Linked DNA regions of Rattus norvegicus. The protein of the gene in region 1 purifies or fractionates together with the protein of each later gene. This does not show direct contact. Links are inferred from orthologs where the notes say so. Each region holds a gene or a part of one and is shown in the gene's direction. Other genes may lie near its edges.

Evidence for each region.
Region 2: the proteins of Sntb2 (region 1) and Cask purify together in Homo sapiens (affinity purification with mass spectrometry; 3 studies listed by BioGRID and IntAct, with this or other methods). This does not show direct contact. The link is inferred for Rattus norvegicus from reciprocal best matches to the Homo sapiens genes SNTB2 and CASK.

Annotation. Positions count from the first base shown.
Region 1 is NC_086037.1:51,819,634-51,825,663, forward strand, and holds the end of Sntb2 (beta-2-syntrophin), read left to right. Parts: intron 1-2,246; exon of another isoform or gene 2,247-2,348; intron 2,349-2,515; coding exon 2,516-2,700; intron 2,701-4,100; coding exon 4,101-4,193; 3' UTR 4,194-4,239; downstream 4,240-6,030. UniProt on the Homo sapiens protein: Adapter protein that binds to and probably organizes the subcellular localization of a variety of membrane proteins. May link various receptors to the actin cytoskeleton and the dystrophin glycoprotein complex.
Region 2 is NC_086039.1:11,797,827-11,804,411, forward strand, and holds part of Cask (peripheral plasma membrane protein CASK), read left to right. Parts: exon of another isoform or gene 1-72; intron 73-2,105; coding exon 2,106-2,281; intron 2,282-6,585. UniProt on the Homo sapiens protein: Multidomain scaffolding Mg(2+)-independent protein kinase that catalyzes the phosphotransfer from ATP to proteins such as NRXN1, and plays a role in synaptic transmembrane protein anchoring and ion channel trafficking.

The DNA of each region.
Region 1 (6,030 bases):
AACATAGGACTAGATGGCAGAGTGTGTATGAGAACCGGTGGCAACCTGAATTCCATCCCGTTATCCACTTGGCAAGTGAGGGCACCAACTCCCAAAGTTGGCCTGTAACTTGCACATGCCCGCTGTAGCTTGCATGTGTGTTTGTGCAAGGCACACATACCACAAAATAGATAAACACCCAGTGTCTAGAGGCAAACATTCTTAGTATGACCTCCCCTGCCCCTTTTCAAGGTTGAGGTAGCCAGGAACAAGATTCTGTTTTTCAAAAGTACCTCTTAGGTATGTGTTTGCTTTGCCTTCTTTCCCTCCTCAGGCAACACAGTTCAAATAGAACATGTGGGAAATCTTGGGGCCGGGGAAGGTGGCTCAGTGCTTTCCTACCATATGAGAAGAATCTCACACAAGCCTGGCGTGGGGTTGATGGCTTCGTTTTCCTGGCAGTGACTCACCTGCCTGAATGGCACCTTCCATAGCCAGAACTCTTAAAAACTTGAGCTGTCTTGAACTAGATTAGAACTAACCCTATGGACCCCAGTCCCCTTACTACACCCCGACTTCAGAGATGTTAGTAGGACCATACTGTGTGGGTGCCTTGGTTAGGGGTATGGCTGTTACCCTCCTCCCCCTCAGCCATTCACTGCTTTCACCCATGTTTGCTCCTTGGCCGCTTTCTGATAACTAGTACTCTGTTGTCCGCCGCTCACTTCACGTGGTGCAGAGAAGGACGCCCCCAGTGTTTCATCTGTTTTTCTCCTTCCTGGTTTGCTAAGCATACAGCTTCATTACCTCATCGAATGCTTTGCATATCCGGTGAGAGTATATTGGCTACACATGATGACCTGCTTCAAGAGCCATTCTTGTTGAAATGGGAGCAGAGCTCAGCTCTGGTGTTTAAGTGTTGCTCTGGAGCTCAGGCTTGCCTCAGACTGTTGATTCTCCAGCGAAGTGCTAAGATTACAGGCCTCCGTGCCCATGCCCGGTGGTCAGAGTTCCTGTTCAGTTTAGATGTGTCGTTGGTTGAGCTTTTACAGGTTTATTACATTAGTTCATGAGAGTATCAGAGGACAGAGCTCAGAGGACAACTTATGAGTCTGTCCTCTCCCTTCTATCGTGTGGATTCAGGGATGGAGTAAGCTTGGTAATTAGCACCATTTATCTACTGAGTCATTTTGCAGTCCACTGCCGGCAGAGCTGGAAGGGTTTTGTTTTGTTCTATTTTCTGTGGTACTGAGGATTAAACCCAGGGCCTCCTTCCTGCTCGGTGAGCCTGCTGCACTGGGCTGGTCTGCAGCCCCAGTTGTATTCTGTGATTAGCAGTCACCTCATGACTCTTACTGACCATAAACTTCTAATAGACGTTGTGTCCTTCCCAGATCCCAACCACAGCACACTACAACTCTGGAGGGTATCTCTCCTTTGCTCCTTCCTTCTTGCCCAGGCTCTGTAGGGAAGGCTGGCCTCGGCCTCCCAAGCTGGGGTTGAAGGCATGCGCCACCACCTCCCAGCTAGTCTATCTTTAGGGTTTATCTCAATTCCCATCCTAGAAACCTTTTTCCTGACTTCAGCCTTAGCTCCGTTTTGAGTGTCATTGTGTTTTATAGATTCTATCTCATATGGTTAGAGATTTATAAAGTGTTTGCGAGCAGAAAATACCCCTTTGCCTCCCCCTCACTACATACAGTTGATATCCAGTCGAACGGAGACGGAAGTCAAGGAGAGGTAGGCTTATCCCGCCTCATCTCAGGCAAGATGCTGTCTTGGGCCAAAGTAATTTTAGGGGCTGGAGCCTGGGCTCAGTTGTTCAGAACATGTACCACTCTTGCAAAGGTCTCAAGTTTAATTCCCAGTAGCCATGTTAGGTAACACAACCCACTGTAACTCCAGCTCCAACAACAGCACTCGGGTCTTCCTGGACACTGCACGCACATGCACATACCCCACACAGATCTATGCATATAATTACAAATAATACCAAATGTTCTGACATGTGCCTTTAATCCCCGAGTTCTGGAGGCAGAGACAGGTGGATCCCTGACTGCAGATCAGCCTGGTCTCCATAGTGAGTCCCAGGCCTCCCAAGGCTACACAGGAAGATCTTGTGTCACAAAGAAAACTCTGCCTGGCTCTGTGGCCCATGCTTATACTCCACCACCACTTGGAATAGATAAGCAGGAAGATACCTGATGACATACCAACTTGGGGTGCATTGGACAGTCTCTTAATAAAAATAATAACAGGCCTTTTTAAAATGAATCCACTGCTTCATGAATTTCCATGTCATCCTTGCAGAGAGCATGCTAATCTTTCCTGATTCCTTCCAGTTTTAGTATCTTTGTGTCAAAGCACGTGCAGAATAATAAGTCTTTTTAAATTTTATTTTAGGAAAGTGTAAGCTGCTTGGGCCTCATATTCTCAAGAAAAGGTTGTTTTTTATGTTTGGAACCAGAAGAATCCTTTTCTACTTGATAAGTAAAATAGGATCTTTATTATATATGAGTTTTTCTTGTCTTGACAGGCTGCACCTTAAGTGGCCAAGATGTAAGATTCACTGTCCACTATGAGCACGGGTTCACGATCACCAGAGACAATGGCGGCACCAGCAGCATATTGTACCGCTATCCCTTTGAACGGCTGAAGATGTCTGCTGATGATGGAATCAGAAATCTCTACTTGGATTTTGGTGGTCCTGAGGGAGAACTGGTGAGAATGTGTCTGAAAACCACAAGCATGGCGGCATGAATGTGTCCACTAGCGTCCTGTCTCTCACATGGCTTCTGTTTGCTTGCTTGCTTGCTTGCTTGCTTGCTTGCTTGCTTGATTGCTTTCCTTCATTATGCTGAGTCTTGAAGGCCTCTGTGTGCTGGGCAAGTGCTTTACCACCGAACTGCATCCACCCCCAGCCGGTCACTGCTTTTTACCTCCTGTGTAGGAAGTTATGGCCTAACATTTGATATTCCATTAGCACTTAAAAGTTGTTCATTAGTTTTTTTTTAAAGATTTATTCATTTATTATATATAAGTACACTGTAGCTGTCTTCAGATACACCAGAAGAGCCACCATGTGGTTGCTGGGAATTGAACTCATGACCTCTGGAAGAGCAGTCGGGTGCTCTTAACCGCTGAGCCATCTCTCCAGCCCCCTGTTCATTAGTTTTTAAGTTTTGTCTGAGAACTGGGGAGATAGTAAAGTGTTTGCTCTACATCTATCAGGACCTGAGTTCAATCCCCACCCCCTCCAGAAAAATCTACATTAAAAAAGCTGGATATGTAGCACACATTTGTAATCCCAGCATCGGAAGGCCAGGATGTAGATCCCTGGGCCTTGCAGGCCATCCAGCCTAGCTTTTGTGGCAAGTTCCAGGTCAGTGAGAGACCCAGTCTCAACAGAGAACTTGGAGAGAGCCATAGAGAAGGCTCAGCAAGTAAAGGCCATTGCCACCAAGCCTCATGGTCTGTGATGGATTCTCCAGGAGAGGGCTGACTTCCATAAGCTGTCCTTTGTCTCTCTCACTCACACACACACACACACACACACACACACACACACACACACACACACAAATAAATAATTATAACTCAACCAAGAATGTAGCTCAGTTACTAGACTGCTTACCCGGCATGCACAAAGGCCTGTGTTTGATCCTCTGTACCACGTACATCTGGGCGTGCTAGTGCATCCCTGTGATAATCTCAGCACTTGGAGATCCAGGTGGGCAAGTCAGGAGTTCAAGGTTCTCCGCAGCTATGAGTAAGCTCTAGGCTGGCCTGGCCTGTATGAGGTTGCCTTAAAAAGAAGAAAGGGGGACATCACATCTAAACATATTTAATACCATTGTCTCTAAAGTGTGTGTAGGGCTGGAGAGATGGCTCAGCAGTTAAGAGCACTGGCTGCTCTTCCAGATGACCCAGGTTCAATTCCCAGCACAGACATGGCAGATCATAACACTCTGTAACTCAGGTTCCTGTGGATCTGACTCCCTCACACAGACATATGTAGGACAAACACCATATGTACATGAAAGAAAGGATAGGAGAGACAGACAGACAGACAGACAGACAGACAGAGAATTACAGTGACGACTCCTGTCTCTTCTCCACAGACTATGGATCTGCATTCTTGTCCAAAGCCGATTGTGTTTGTATTGCACACATTCTTATCTGCCAAAGTCACTCGCATGGGACTGCTTGTGTGAGCAGCAAGAGTGGAGAAAGACTGCCACAAGAAGTATTTCCACCTCAGAAGATGACATAAAGACAAGCAACAACAACGCAGAAGCACAAACTGAAGCCCTTGCTCCCTCCCTCCATCACAGTGCCTTCCCGAGGACCTGCAGACCACTGCTGGACCACAACAGGGTTTTAGGAAGGGCTGACCTTTCCCACACAGCCTTGGCCAGAAATTCTAGAACTATAATGAGCTCCAAATCAAAGCTGTCGATTTAGCGACTTAGTGTCTCTTTTTCATGATGTGATCTCTAAGTAATTAGGTTTATTTCCCCTGTTATGAAGGCTGACTCTTTGGGTCTCTCTTTGGATGTAGACAATAGCCAAAAGGGGTTCTCCTTTTCTCTCTGTAGGAATCATTTGGGCATAGCCTTGAGCTTGTCGCTCCCCAGGTGCTAGTGTGTAGCCGCCATCCCTCAGGCATATCCCACACAGGTCAATTGCACCTCGGTGTTAACGTTTTTTACCTTGGAAATCCCTGAGCATCATCCCCACAGGTTCCTCCACCCACCCTGGCTCTCACTGACCCCACCCTGCCCACCCCTAGCACCAACTCCGCCACCCATAAGTGCTGCCTTTAGGACTCAAAACTTGCACAGTCCGGTTGCCTTTCCTTCACTCCTCTTTTTTTGTGGTGTCCAAGTTGAAAAGCAAGTTGGACTGCTGCTCTGAAAGGAGTTTTGCTTTCTTCAGTTTATATTGAGTTTGTATTTGGTAGGAGCCAGGGGAGGGTCTACAGTTTATTTTGAAAGATCCTCATTTTAAGCTAAGCCATTTCTTATCACTTACCAAGTGTGCCTTTGGTTAGGCTCCGTGGAGCTTCATTAGTGTCTGGATGAAGGGGTCCCATCGAGCTTTCAGGAGTCCTCCTTCAGGTCAGTTCCTTAAAGATGTCTGTCGGTGGTAATTTTGTGGGTCAAGATGCCACATTGAGTGGCACAAGGCACTTTTGTGGCCCCAAAGTAGTAAGGACAAGTCACCTCCAGCTCCAATTGAACACTGAGCTGCTTAATATAACACACCCTGGATGGCAGGATGATGTCACCTGCATTTTGTTCAGCATGGCCAAGTGTCGTCATGACTCAGTGTGAGCATGACCCAGAAGATCATCCTCAGTTTGTTTCTCCTGGTTTGGAAGGGAGAGAGGTATATAAAAAACGTTTGAAACACTCTCTACATAAAATATCAAGATTAGCACAGCTCCTGAATCTGAACAAAAAGGAAATATCAATTTTCTACCCTCTGAAAACATGTCTAGAAACAGCTCGCATTTTCTAGATTTCTCTCGAGTGCCACCCAAGGATATGACGCTTCAAATAGGGTAGAGGGCGAAAGGGAAGAAAACACAAGTGTCTGTGTAGAGCCTGAGCCACTTTGATTGACAGGGTAGCCAGAGGAAAGGGCAGGTGCCAAGCAGAGGTGTCAGCCTGCTGCCCTCTGCTGTCTATGAGTCAGGCCCCCTGCTCTGCAGTCAGATTAACAGTTTGCAGAGGCTGGGGAGAAAGTCATAACCCTGAGATTGTTTCCATCCGTGATACAGCTTCAACTCAAAGGAAAAAGAGAAATGTCCCAGCTCTGAGTGCAGAAAGCAGAGCTGCAGCAGGTAACCTCAGGCAGAGAGCTCTGGCTCCTGCCTCCCTGAGCTGCAGTTTGCAAGGCTGAGCCACCAGGGGGATTGACAGGAGGCGCTGCCACCCTGTTCCTCAGGAGAGCTGTATGTAAGCAGGTATGATGGTGGCAGACAGGTAAGGTGTGCACATGTTCTGGCTGAGGACTGTGGGTTTTTAATGCTGTCATTTGAGTCTT
Region 2 (6,585 bases), on another chromosome or scaffold:
GCATAGTTCCTTTGTTGATAGCCAGGGTACCAACTGAATTCACCACGAAAGGGCTAAATGCTGTGTAACATCCTATGTAAAAATAGTCAGGAAATTGTAAAAAGCCTACAAAATGAAGAAGGTAACAGTGCTTGTATGTATGAAGATTCACAGCCTAAAATATTAAAAACATAGCCACTCAGAATAACTCCCTCCCTGAAGTTTGACGAAAGGTTTATTATTGCATTGAAATTAGCATTTAAATATGTATGTACCTATCTGAAGTATTTCAAAAACGTTATGTGTTTGGTTTGGTAATTGGTTTCCTGTTCTTAGAATTTTGTGATCGAAGTCAAGTGGTCACACACACACACACACACACACACACACACACACACACACACACGAAGAAGAAGAAGAAGAAAAGGAAGAGGAAGAGGAAGAAGAGGAGGAGGAGGAGGAGGAGAAAATTAGTAGCAAACACAAGAAATTTAGTGAAGTTTTTCAAATTCTACTGATGTTCTTGACATTAAAAAGTCACCACTGTATCTCTCTGTCACCTCTGAGAAAAATTTTGAACTCAAAGTATACATCCTCCTGAAGAAAGAGCACTAATTTCTCTGTAGTGGGGGCGGTCTTCTCTTTAGGACGGCTGGGCCTGACTGTGGAGGTTTCAGTTATCCCCCACAAGGAGGTCCCCCACAATGAGTCACTCTACCTGAGTAGGAAGTTGTAGGAGTTGCATGTCAAAGAACTTTTCAGCAGGTACCAAATGGGTTCTAATAGCTGTATTTCAAATGGTACCCTGAGCTCTTGGCCCTGCTTTTCTTTACTCCTGACAGCTCCATCAAAACAATGTTTATTATCCTGGGACCCTGCATTACAGAAGCTCCCAATGAAGTGGAAAGTTCAGCTCCCAATACTGCAAAATCAATGTTGCTGCTTGAAGAAGTAAAATCAGACAATCAAAAATAATTGTTTTTTCTCTCATCAGGACTTGTAGCCAATGCTGAGCTTGATCTCTTCCTTTAAGAAATGGGAGGGAACACAGGAGAGGCTGTCTGTCATCCAGACTGAGGAACTAACTAGCCTCTCCACCCCAGCTTAGTTTGATAACCATCAACAGGCCTTGGCAATATATTCTCTGTAAATGGGTTAAAAGGTCTCTCAGGTTCTTTTAAAACATGAGACCACAGTGAGATAAAGTATTTTACAATCTCCAAAGTGACAATCATCCTGGCTTGATCATAAGAAGAGACATGCAGATGGACAAGAAGCAGGAAGGAAGGCCAGGGCTGGGCCTGCAGAATGTAGAAGAGCTGCCAAGTTGGTCAGGCAGTGGCCTGTCCCAAAGTCCTTTCCTGGCAGAGTTGAAGAAGCCTTTTATTCCTCCACAGAGAAAAAGACTACCTCGAGGGTACTCAGTGAAAGATAGTTATAGTGTACAAGCAGCCAGAACCAGATTCCTTCTAGAAAACTGGTTCCCTCCCTTAAGAGGGAGGGGGAAAAAAAGAAACATCTTCAAAGAAGACGAGAGTGAAAGGATTGCATGGGAAGGAGTTCCTGATTTCAATTTAGTGTGTGCCGTCGGTTAGCTCTTGTCCTCTTCAAATGTTAACATTAGGAATAAGCTAAGGATTCCCATTCCAGTAGCCATTGAGATTAGCTGTGATTGACCTAATAGGAGCTGGGCCGTTAAAAGTAATCTTTTTGCCATCAAGCTGTTTCTTACTTTTGCCCTCTCTCTGCCCCTGCCTCTCCTTAGGGTAAGCCTTCCGCCTCGTCCCAGCAGGTACAGGCTAGCAACACACTCTTCCCTGGCTCTGCTCTAAATTGGAACATTTAAAATTCTTCAAGGAGCAAGAAATAGAAGACCTATTATATAACGTCCAGAATTCAGAGAAGGGGACCCTGTTCTTGGCCTAGTCTTTTCTGACCCAGTGGTCAGATAAACTATTTTTTTCTTTCCATGAATTCCTGTTAGAAAGGGAAGTAATAGAACACTGACATTGATAAATTTTTTATCCAAACCGATAATTGCTTTTTTAATTTTCAGATTTCAAGTACAAAAAAAAAACACGTTTCACAAAACCAGTTTTCCATAATGTTGCTGTTTTAAATAACAGGACGCGTTGGAACACCTCACTTTATGGCCCCAGAAGTGGTCAAGAGAGAGCCTTATGGAAAGCCTGTGGATGTCTGGGGCTGCGGTGTGATTCTTTTCATCCTGCTCAGCGGCTGTTTGCCTTTCTACGGAACCAAGGAAAGATTGTTTGAAGGCATTATTAAAGGAAAATATAAGGTAATGAATTATGACCATTTTATTTTCCATTCAAATTACATGGGCCTCAGAAAAGTATTTGTTTTGAAGCTGTTGTCTGTCTTTGCTCATTAACTTATCACTGCCAGGACCAGAGCAAGTCTGTGTTGCCCTCAGGACCCAGTAGCCCTGTGAAGCACAATGGGGTCTTGGTCAGTTTGAGTCACCATGAGCTCAACTCAGTGAGCAGCTGAACTTCTGTGGGCCTCTTTTGTATAATTAAGAAAAGCCCTTTATTTTTAAAGCTTTTTTCTTACTTTCTAACATTCAAATGGAAATTTCACTCAGGTATTTTCAGTCCTTTCTTATCCTAATTTTGTTATCTCTAAAGAATTTGTTTTTATCAGTTTTCTGTATGTGTCTGCATGTAGGTAGGTGCATGTGAGCCTGCAGAGGCCAGAGGTTTTGGATACACTAGAGTGCAGGCAGTAGTGAACTCACCCAACATGGATGCTAGGAAGCAAACTCGGATCCTCCAGAAGAGCTAAACCACCTCTCCAGCCCCATCTTAGAGGCAGTTTGATATGACTTACACATCCATATTCCTTAGCTACTATGCATCGGAAGCCTCAAATATTATCACTGTCTTGTAATTACTAGATTACTGATTTCCTTATTTTAAAAGAGTCAATGCTATGACATATTATAGAGAGTTATATTTTAAAAACCCTAAGGACTCTCAGAAATAAGTAAGCTGAAGGTCTATTCACAGTCCCAACTCTTCTTACTCTAAGCATGTCTCAACACATGTATCTGGTAGGGTCTAGAGCTGCAAGTGTGTGTATGTGGCGGCACTTAATGCTGGGGAAATCCCCCCCCCATTATTACTGAAGCTCATACTTTCTATTCAACTGAATCATTGCTTCTTTTTTGGCCATGCCTGGTTATATAAGATGAAATATAAGTTTATATAATACTAGACTCCCAAACTGTGACGCTGCTAACATTTTCTTTTCAATTTGTTAGTAATGTTATAATTTTTAAGATTATTTTTTATTTTAATTATGTATATGTTTGGGTTTGTGTGTGGGTATGCGCACCAGAGAGAAAAGGTGCCAGTGGAGGCCAGAGACCTCAGACTCCCTGGCGCTGGAGTTACAGGAGGTTGTTAGACAAGTCATGTGGAAGCTGGGACTGAAGCACAGGTTCTCTGCAGCACCAATATTTACTCTTAACCGTCAAGCCATCTTTCCAGCCCATAATGTGGAAAGGTAGTTTCTGAGCTGCAGCCTTGTCCCTTTAAACTATAACTAAAGCATGTGGAGGTGAAAATGGCAAATACTTTACTTTGTTTACCTTGTGCACTGTCAGCTCATGAGAGCAAACAGTATCTTTCTGAAACAGAAAGAAGCAGACGTTTTTCTGCTTGTCTTAGAGTTAGTTGACCAGTAAATAAAAGCAATACTTTCCAAGTAACTAAAAACTCTGGGAGATTGCTTATTAAGCAATGGCCCCCTCCTATCCTGGGAGATTGTGAATGTTACCAGTAATACAAAGACTGGTCTTTCTGGCTGAATGTTACCAAATCAAATGAAATTACAAATGCTAATGTGTTGCAAGAAACTCAGTTGAAAATGAAGGGCCAAGCATGGTGGTACACGCCTTTAACACCTTAAGGAGGCTGAGACAGGAGACTCTCTATGAGTTTGAGGCTAATCTAGGCTACATAGCAAGCTCCAGACCAACCGAAGCTACGCGGTTAGGCTCTGTCTCAAAAATACCAAAAAGAAGGAAACAAAGTCAGGCACCAGGTTACTAAGAATAGTAGCAGAGTACTTCATCTGCACCAGGACCTGCACTGAGCAATTCAGTCAGTCTTCTCAGCAGCTCATGGCCTATTAGCATGTGATAAAATCTCCCACCTGCCTTCTTGAGTTATAAGCATTTGCTAAGAATAGAATCCTTCCTTTGTGTTTGTTCACTTGCTTAATTCCTGGTTTCCAAGGCAATGTGCCTCATTCCAGCAGCGTCTGGTATTTGATTTTGTCTATTTTTAAAGCATTGAATACTTATTTTTAAGCCTTGGTAAGTAATTTCAACTGCTTGCACTGTCTAAAAATTAAGTTATTTTAAAATTTCCTATTCTTAGCAAATAATGGTAATATTATAGGAAGTGATAAAGAAGGTAGGAGTGAGACCGTGATTGCTGTACCAAGGGCTTGTGGCTTTGCAGCTTTATTTCCCACTTTATTCAGCTAGTGTCTCTTCTTGCTGGGCTTCATGGTCTCCTTTACAAAAGGCCCAGGTCTTCAGTTTAAAATATGGATCCACTTCTGCCACTTCTACCACTTCTATGAGCTTCATGGGCCTCATCGTTTTTTCTATTTCTTTTTCCTTTTTGACATACTGTGATATGATTCTATCAATATGCATTGCCGCTTCTTTATCATGGAAATAGTCAAACACACAAGGATGATGGAGAGCTCTCAGCTTCCATACTTAATGTATTACCAATCTTGTTCTGCATTTCACACACTTTTAGGTTATTCTAAAACGTCTCAAAAAAATCATCTCAATACCCTGATAGTACTTATCAAAAGAAGCAGTCAAATCCTGATCTTGGACATGTGTAAAGGGAAGCTCGATGAAATCACATGAGACCCAGGATAGGGAAGAAGGGTGTTTTAACCAGGTTTCTACTGCTGTGATAACACCATGGCTAATAGCAAATTGTGGAGGAAAGGGTTTATTTGGCTTACAGGTTACAGTCCATAATTGGGGAAATCCAAGACAGGGACTTGGAGGCAGAGAGTGAAGCAGAGGCCATGGAGGAATGTTGATTATGGCCTTGTGCCCCATGGCTTTGTCAGTCCGCATTGTTTTTTATGCAACCCAGGATGACCAGTTGTGGTCCTCCCCTCCCACATCAATCATTAATCAAGACAATCCCACAGGCTTACCTACAGACCAATCTGATGGAGGCGTTTTCTCACTTGAGCTCCCCCTTCCTAGATAACTAGCTTGTGACAGGTTGGGGAAAAAGACAGGGGAGCTTATCTATCTAGGTAATGCCTAATCAGTCACCACCATGAATTTCAGACAAGTCCACTGACCACAATTCTGATAAAATGACAATATTTAAGCAGTCCCATGCCAGTTTCCTCATGGGATTCAACAAATGGAAGTGATTGCTGTAGTAATTTTGCCTCTCAGAAAAGGAAAGTAGAACACTGTCCAACTGTAAGAGCTCTCCCTAGTATGCAGATGCTTTGCCCTCCCCATCTGTAAGTTCAAAGCCTCACCTGAGCCAAAGCTCTGTGTCTGTTGCCAGCCCTCAGCTGAACTGGAATGATTCCTTTATGCTGGGATGCAAGTACTGTGATTTTGTTTGCCTTTAAATTATAATATTCATTCTTCATCATTTTCTCTTAAGAGGTAACATAGATCGCTAATGGTTAAGGCCAGCACACTGAGCCAGAGATGTAGTTCCTTGGCAGAGCACATGCACCACGGTTCTGTCTCCAACACTGACAAACAACAGCAGCAGTTACAAAAAAAACTGGCTACTGTATGAAGCTCCTGGCACCAGGCAGCTCCCATATGGTCATTCAATCAGGCAACTTCCACTTTTGCCACTGCCTCCAGTTCCCACTTCCCTTCCCAGCTCCGAGCTCTGAGTGTTTTTCTCATTTCTGACCTTAGACATAACCCTTTCTCCAGGAGCCTTCTGGTCTTTCCCTCAAACATCCATAGCCATTATCAAAGAGACGTGAAAAATGTGTAATTCTTTTTGTTTACTTTTACTCAGTTTTACCACACGAATTAGTCGTCCCATCTCTAAAACAGAGAGCTTCACTGAGTACAGTATACAAGTGAAACTAGCTATTTTATGATGATAGTAATATTTTTCCTTAGATATTGAAATACCCCGGTCAGAATATCCAATTAATGATTTTAATAGCCTCACAATTAATATTGCCCCAGTTTTGTTTTAGGGCTTGTGCGTATGTTTCTTTCTTCCTTTAGGAATTTTTACCCTGTCTAGGAATTCCCTTGCCTTAGTGTCTCAGGTGCTAAGATTATACTGGTGCATACCACACTCAACACCTGATCCTAACGTTGGAAGACAGTAGTTTTCAAATGTTTCTTTAGCTGGGAATGATGGCAGAGACCTGTAACGTCGTCACTTAAGAGGCTAGGGTAGAAGCAACTGGAGGTTCAAGGTCTACCTTGGCTACACAGTGAGTTCTAGTCCATCCTGTGCTTAAGGAAACCTTGTCTCCAAAAAAGAATCGTCCTTTAATTTTTTTCACTTCAAATTTATTTCAGTACTTTATCAGTATATT